Linked DNA regions of Macaca mulatta. The protein of the gene in region 1 interacts with the protein of each later gene in a pairwise test. Links are inferred from orthologs where the notes say so. Each region holds a gene or a part of one and is shown in the gene's direction. Other genes may lie near its edges.

What was found. The genes of interacting proteins can lie anywhere in the genome.
Region 2: the proteins of TACC3 (region 1) and KIZ interact in binary tests that used the Homo sapiens proteins (3 or more experiments, as listed by UniProt). The two-hybrid records come from large-scale screens. The link is inferred for Macaca mulatta from reciprocal best matches to the Homo sapiens genes TACC3 and KIZ.

Annotation. Positions count from the first base shown.
Region 1 is NC_133410.1:1,837,534-1,841,640, forward strand, and holds the start of TACC3 (transforming acidic coiled-coil-containing protein 3), read left to right. Parts: upstream 1-1,206; 5' UTR 1,207-1,559; intron 1,560-3,331; 5' UTR 3,332-3,332; coding exon 3,333-3,494; intron 3,495-3,638; coding exon 3,639-3,781; intron 3,782-4,107. Other genes in the region: TMEM129 (E3 ubiquitin-protein ligase TM129), read right to left, coding at 678-882. UniProt on the Homo sapiens protein: Plays a role in the microtubule-dependent coupling of the nucleus and the centrosome. Involved in the processes that regulate centrosome-mediated interkinetic nuclear migration (INM) of neural progenitors.
Region 2 is NC_133415.1:62,912,607-62,916,251, reverse strand, and holds part of KIZ (centrosomal protein kizuna), read left to right. Parts: intron 1-545; coding exon 546-708; intron 709-3,273; coding exon 3,274-3,378; intron 3,379-3,645. UniProt on the Homo sapiens protein: Centrosomal protein required for establishing a robust mitotic centrosome architecture that can endure the forces that converge on the centrosomes during spindle formation. Required for stabilizing the expanded pericentriolar material around the centriole.

The DNA of each region.
Region 1 (4,107 bases):
TGTCCTCCCAGAGCTGCGTCTGCCCCTGTGTCCTCCAGAGGTCCCCCCTTGAAATCCCTTTCCAACCACTGCACCCCCCATCTCCCACCTGTCTGTCATCCAACTGGCTGAGACGGGGACCTTCCAGAGCCCCAGTTACCACCTGGGGCCCAGCCCAACACCCCCCGGACAACTCTGAGGGTCCCACCTGCACAGAGGCCCTCCTCAGCCTCTGCCTCTGTGGCGCCCCCAAACTGGAACTGCCTCCAAATCCGCCCGTTCTCCCCACACCCACCTTCCAAGGCCTAGAGCAATGCCACCCTCCACACAGTCCCTCCGACCCCTTCTGTTGGACTCAATCAACAGTTGCCTTCTCCTGGCCACTGCCCGCAACCACGACAAGCAAAGGCTGCTTGGCCTTGGAACCCCCAGGCATGTGACGGTTCAGGACATGGTGAGCCGGGGCATCCCCTGCCCAAGGTTCTGTACTTGGGTTCCCGTCACCTGCAAGCCAGCGCCGGCGGCGCCCCTAAGCGCGCTCAGCCCACGCCGCGGTCCCTCTGGATGAGGACCGGCGCCTCTCCCCAGCTGCGCCCAGGCGCTTTCGGGGCCTCGGCGAGCTGGCGGAGGCCTCCTCCTGACCTCCCAGCAAGCCCTGCGCAGGAGAGGACGCGGCTGGCCGGCCGGAGCAGCCTCACCGAGCGGCAGCAGCGAGTGGCACAACAGCGTGGCGGCCGTGCGGCGCAAGTGGAAGGGCACGAAGGCGGCGTCCTCGCTGCCCAGCCAGCCCGACAGCAGGTTCTGCACCGTGAGCCCCGCCGCGTGGAACTCGTTAGGCGTGAACACAAAGCACACGGCGAACACCAGATAGGCGAGAGTGAAGGTCACCTCGGGGCTGTCCATCGCGCCGCCGCCGGGAAGCTGTCCGGCGAGGACCCCGCCCCCGGCGCGGGGAAGAGGCCGCAGCGCCCAGACCCCGACGTGTCGGTTGCGGCAGCCGCCACCCGGCCGCCCGCGGGGCACTCTAGGAGATGGAGTCCCGCCGCCCGGCCGCCCGCGGGGCGCTCTGGGAGATGCAGTCCCCGTGAGGGTGCGGCCTCTCTTCAGGGCCCGCCCTGGAGGCGGCACTGCACCTGGTCTCAATGCACAGCTGGGGAAACTTAGGCCTGAGCCAGCGGCTCTCAGTCCCTGGCCACGAAGCCCCGCCCAGTAGCGTCAGCTGCAGAACCCGAAATTCGTGCGGCGACGGCGAGCCGGCGGTCTCAGCTTCAGACACCCCCGGCAGGCCCTCCACTCCGGAAACGGAACCGTCGGCGCACGGGGGGGCGGGGCCGGCGAGACACAGCTTCCCATTGGACCCCCACCCTCCTACGGTCCCGCCCCCGGCCGCGTGCTGATTGGCCGCGCGAAGGCAACCGTCGGCGTTTGAAACTCGGGCGCGCCGGCGGCCATCAAGGGCTGGAAGCGCGGCAGCGGCAGCAACTAGGCTCGCCCCCGGCGCGGAGCAGACGCATATCCAGACCCCTCCTTCCTGGCGGCGGCGGCGCGGGCTCAGAGCCCGGCAACGGGCGGGCAGGCAGGTAGACGAGCGTCTACACGGCACGGGGAGGCTGGGGTCCCGGGGGCGCGAGGCCGTCCCGCCCCGCCCTCGGCCCTCGCCTTCCCGCCCTGGCCGCAGCTTTCCCCGGGAAGCGTCCCCCACGGCTTCTTCCCGGGCCGCCGGGGCCCGTCCCGCGCCCTGTCATGGGACCCGGCCCTAGACCGACCACCGGGCTGGATCCCCTGGGCGGTGGCCGGGGGCGGCTAGGGCTGGGCCGAGCCCGACGGCGGAGCGGGCGCCCTGAAGTGCTTTGTTCTCTTCGACCCTCTCCTGCCTCTCGGCCGCCCACCCTGGTTCTTTGTTGGCTCCCAGCTCGCAGACCCTCTTGTGGTTCTTTGGTCCCTTCCGGCCTCCGTCCTGGTGCCAACTCCATCTGGGCCACCTGTGGCGGACACCTGGGCCCCGACCGCTTCCCCGCACCTGCTGCGCCGCTCCATCTTCCCCCGCGCCGCATCCCACTTGTGCACCAGAGTAGCATCAAAGCACCGGCCTGGGGCCGGTCCCTTCCCTGCCCAGAGCCCCTCCCGGGGCTCCATAGTCGGTAAAGGCCCCTCCTGACCAAGGCTGGGTCTGCTGCTCTCCCGCACTCCTCCAGGCCGCCGGAAGGCTTCCTCCGAGTCACTTTCTCCCTGAGTTCCAGGCTTGCGTGTCCCCCAGTGATCCAGCTGCCCTTCCCCTGCCCTGTACCCAGTTATTCAGGCCAAAAACCTAAGCGTCGTCTGTAAGTCCCATATATGCCAGTGGCCAGGCCCGGGTCTGGTCTGGCCTCTACTCCTCGGGCTGCAGAAGCGTGTGGTTTCCCTGCTTCCCTCCTGCCCTTACTTCCCTACCCACACACAGCACCACAGTGGGCTTCTCAAGCTGCAGCACCGACCTGCCCGGGCTGCCCCTCTCTCTTCTCCAGGACCCTCCCCAACTTTGCTCTTTTTCAAATCAAAGCCTTCCCAGGTCCCCCACCACCAACAGGTGCCCGTGGGGTTCCTGCCCAGGTCGACACTCGGTTCTCTCTGGCAGCCTTTCTGCCTACGTCATTCCCTAGACTGGGAACGCTGTAGACAGAAAGGGTGGCAAGTGTGTGGGTGACTGGTGTGAGGACCTGGGCGGCCCTGGAACCTGGGACTGACTGGAGGCCCTGATATGGAAGCTCCTTGGCACCTGCTGCTCAGCTCTGGGCGTCCCTTGTTCGCCTACTGTCTCCCAGCTCCTCCTCTGGGCCTTCACCCCAGCCTGGTCTTGTCCCGCTGCCTAGCCCGGTGGGAGAAAGCAGACCAGAGCCGCTGTCCTGCTTTTCTGCCCTCTGCTGCCCGGTCCTGCCTCACGCCACACGCGGAGGCCGGTGGGGAGACCGCGGCTTCCTCTGGCTCTTCTGGGTTTCTTATAGGCCAGGGCTTTCCTGTCTCCTGACTTCTGCCTGACGTGGTAATACAACAGTAGAGATTATGCGGTCTTGGTTTTTCTTTCTCACCATCTTAGCCTGAAGGCCCTTTAGCTCTTGGTCCCAGGAGGCAGCGGTGCTGCCCATGGCTCCCGGTGCCAGGCTGGAGAGTGAGTCTCTGAAGCAGGATGGGGACTCAATCGGAGGCTTTCTCTGCCCCACTTGGCAGAGGACATGTGTGGGAGGTGTGAGCTCCAGAACAATGAGCACACCTGTGCCGGAAGGGGTCGTGCTCCCTGCGGCAGCTGTCATGTCTGTGTCTGGACAACATGGTTGTGTTGCCCTCACACTGACACAAACATGTTCTGCTTTTCCAGAATGAGTCTGCAGGTCTTAAACGACAAAAATGTCAGCAGTGAAAAAAGTACAGAAAATTGCGACTTCCTGTTTTCCTCACCAGAAGTTACCGGAAGATCGTCTGTTCTTCGTGTGTCACAGAAAGAAAATGTGCCACCCAAGAACGTGGCCAAAGCTATGAAGGTAAGTGTGACCTCTACAGTGTGTGGCTAGCCAGGTTGCCCTAGGACCTGCTTTCCTGGTGACCTCTGAGCTGCAGGACACTGCTGGTGTGGCTGTAACAGCTTGAACTAATGAATGGGTGCTCTCCTCCTCACTCCACAACAGGTGACTTTTCAGACACCTCTGCGGGATCCACAGACGCACAGGATTCTAAGTCCTAGCATGGCCAGCAAACTTGAGGCTCCTTTGGCTCAGGGTGATACCCTTGGACTGGAAAACTGTCACCCGGTGTGGACTCAGAAAGAGAAGTAAGTGTTCATGCTACTGGACATGCTGGAGCTTCACCCTCTCTGTCCGATGGCTCTTGCAGAAACGTGCTGTCCTGTTCTGTCAGGCCTTGGCTGGAATTTTTTTTTTTTTTTTTTTTTGAGATGGAGTCTTGCTCTGTTGCCCAGGCTGGAGTGCAGTGGCACTATGTCCACTTACTGTAAACTCTACCCACCCCAGGTTCATGCCATTCTCCTGCCTCAGGCTCCCCGAGTAGCTGGGACTACAGGCACCCGCCACCACGCCCGGCTAATTTTTTTGTATTTTTTAGTAGAGACGGGGTTTCACCGTGTTAGCCAGGATGGTC
Region 2 (3,645 bases), on another chromosome or scaffold:
TATTATAAAATGTTTTAATAGTGAATTATATTGTTGCAATTTCTAACAAGTATGTTTGTGTTATCTAAATGAGAGCTTTTGGTATTTTAACATTTTAAAATTTCTTTTAAATTTCTTAATTTTATGGATTGTGATTTGTAGTTTGATTTAATTCCTTATGAGCAGTTATTTTTGAAATAGTTGTGTATAAGAATCTTAGTGAGCCATTCGTCAAACATGTCCATATAGACACGACTCTTGAAATCACATTTAATTTTGAGAAATAAGTCCATAGAAATCTTTACTGTGTGAATGTTAGAATGTGGTCTTGTATATATTTCTCAGGGGAGTTGTGCTTAGAGGAAACCGATATGATAGCTCAGTGGTACTGCATTAATTTTCTCTCTCCAAAAATGTGTATATGCATTTTGTCCTTTGGGTTTTAGTGGTTTGGGTAAAATATCTTAGAATACGTTGTCTCATTAACAATTTTGATAAAGAAAATTCTCTTTCTCAGATTTGTCCAAGTCTAGTCCATTGTTTTAAAACTGCTTTTAATTTTCTAGAGTTAAGCTGAAATATGTAAAACTAAAGAATTATCTGAAGGAAATATGTGAATCTGAAAAGAAGGCTCGTACTCGAAACCAAGAATATTTAAAGCGATTTGAGCGTGTCCAAGCTCATGTTGTACACTTCACCACAAATACAGAGAAGCTTCAAAAACTGAAGGTGACTTCCTGTTTTTTACTATGTTTTATTTTATTTATTTATTTATTTATTTTTTCCAAGATGGGGCCTCAATGTGTTACCCAGGCTAGACTTGAACTCCTGGGCTTAAGCATTCCTCCTGTCTCAACCTCCTGAGTAGCTGGGATTACAGATGCACACCCCATGTAGCTGTGTACCTTCTGAGTAGCTGAAATTACAGGTGTACACCCCATGTAGCTGTGTACCTCCCGAGTAGCTGAGATTACAGATGCACACCTCATACAGCTGTGTACCTCCCGAGTAGCTGAGATTACAGGTGCACACCCCATGTAGCTGTGTACCACCCGAGTAGCTAAGATTATAGGTGCACACCCCATGTAGCTGCGTACCACTCGAGTAGCTGAGATTACAGGTGCACACCCCAGGTTTATGTTTTGTTTTTAATCTTTTTTTTGCTAAAATGAGAAATAATGAGTAGTAATTTTCAGATCAGTGGTAGTCACTAATGTTTAGTTGTTCATACTTAGGATTAAGTATCAGCTTTTTCTGTGAATTACCGTATGGCTAAATTTTATCAGAGAACTTGAAACTGCATTTTCCAAGATTCTTCTTTAGTTGAGGAATCAATGGGATATCTGTAACACAGGCAAGATCACTAGCCAGTACCTGGCACGGTGTAATGCATGGTATTTGTTGGCTGAATGACTGAATTTGAGCAGCATTGGGGTTCCCTCTAGAAACTGATTCTGTCTTGAAAGGGTTCTTTTTCTGTGATCTGGGCCCCTCTCTGGCAAACAGTGCATTGGGACAGCAGTAAAGATAGAACTGTCCCCGAGGAGTTTACCTTCATGCTCCTGGACTGTGTGACCCAGAGTAACTGCCCTTGCAGCCCTCTCTTTTTCTGGCACCTTTTTCCCCTTGAAGTGCAGGTGCTTGGCTACCTGCTGCTGCTTGGCTACCTGCTGCTCCACAAATTAGGCCAAGTGTGGAGGGCCAGGAGCTAGGCCTTTATCCTCACCATTTCCACTGGTCAGGTGTTGTCCAGTTTAACCCACCTTAACATTGATCACAGGAGGAGTTGAATTCAGTATTCTGCCTGCTAGCCTGCTACTGAGCCCCCCTACCTTTTTTTTTCTTTTGCCCTGCAGTTTTTCTTCAGCCTTTTATTATAAAATTATCAGATACACAGAAGAGTTAACATAATTATTGTGATGAACACTCATAATTCTCCATTTAGATGCAATAATTTTAAATATCTTGTTGTATTTGCTTTGTATATATTTTTTCTTTTCTCTGAGCCATTGAAAGTCTGCTGCAGGCATCATGACATTTCTTTCCTAAGCCTTTGAGCATGGATCTCCTAAATGCAGGGGCAGTCTCCTACATAATCATACCATTATCATATCTAAGAAGATTAAAAATGATTTCATAATATTTTGTTTTTTGAGACAGGGCCTCACCCTGTCATCCAGGCTGAAGTGCAGTGGCGTGATCATGGCTTATGGTAGCCTCAACCTTCTAGGCTCAAGCAAGCCTCCTTCCTCAGCCTTAAGTTGGGGCTATAGGTGTGCACTACCATGCCTGGCTAATTTTTTAGTTTTTGTAGAGATGAGGTCTATGTTGCCCAGGCTGGTCTTGAACTCGCGGTCTCAAGCAATTCTCCTGACTTGGCCTCCCAGAGTGCTGGAATTACAGGTTTGAGCCACTGCACCCAGACATAATATTATTTAATATTCAGCTCATATTTGGATTTCCCCACTTCTCCCAAAAAGTAACTTATTTTTCCAGACCAGGAGCCAACTAGGGCTCACGTATTGTTTTTTGCGTTATTGATTATTGTGCCTTTTTTGTCTCTTTTAATTGAATTTAGTCTCCTACCATTCCTCCTTTTTTTTCCCCATGTAATTGGCTGTTTTGAAAAGGCAGTTCATCTGCTTGTAGAATGATCCACATTCTGAATCTAAGGCATCATTTAACTTGCACAGCATCCCCTGTATTTCCTGTGGACTGGAAATGTGGTCTATACAAGCACTGTCCAATAGAATTTTCTGCAGTGATGGCAATGTTCTGTATATATACTGATGCTATCTAATACAGCTACTGCTCATATATGGCTATTGAGCACTTAAAATGTGGTTTGTGACACTGAAGACTGTATTTTTAATTTTGCCAATTTTAATTAATTTTAATTTAAACAGTTACAGCTGAGGTTATACTTCCAACTGCATCCCATCAGGAGGCCCATGATGTCAGGTGGCCCCTGGGTGAGGCTGACTTTGACCCATTGGTTAAGATGATGATCTCTAGTTGTCTCTATTGTAAGGTACAGTTTTTTCCCTTTGCATGTTAGTAACTAATCTGTGGAGTGATAAGTTGGCATCATGGGAATATTGTGTTCCTCAATATCCTTTTACCTAACCGTTTTAGGACCCATAGATGAGCCTTGCCTGAACCAGTTATTTCTAGTGGAGGTTTTGAAAAATGGTGATTTTCTGTTTTATTGTATCTTCTGTTAACTGGCTTTCCTCTATAACAAAGAGCGTTTTCCCTATTTTCTTTCTTTCACCCCCCCCCCTTTTTTTTTAGCCTACAACAGCACCTGGTATTCCTAGGAGTCTCCCATCCAAGTATGAAAAAGGCCCAACCCTGCTTAGCCTTCAAGATCAGATGAGAGCAAGCGTGTTCAGGGTGGTATGGCCATAGACCCCCTTTTTTTTTTAATGTTATGATGGACTTGTGAATTTCTATTTACTAGTATGTTATCAATTACAGTAATTATTCTTTTTGTCATTTTATTGTCTTATATTTGGCCAGTGGGAGTCTCTCTAGATTGGCTCCTGTGTCCTTTTGACATAACCCCCTTAATTCTGAGCCTTCTTTGATCTGGGGCATAACAAGATATTCCAGGTTCACCTCACATTTTTTCTCCCTCAGATATGGAATTAGCCTCCTATCCAA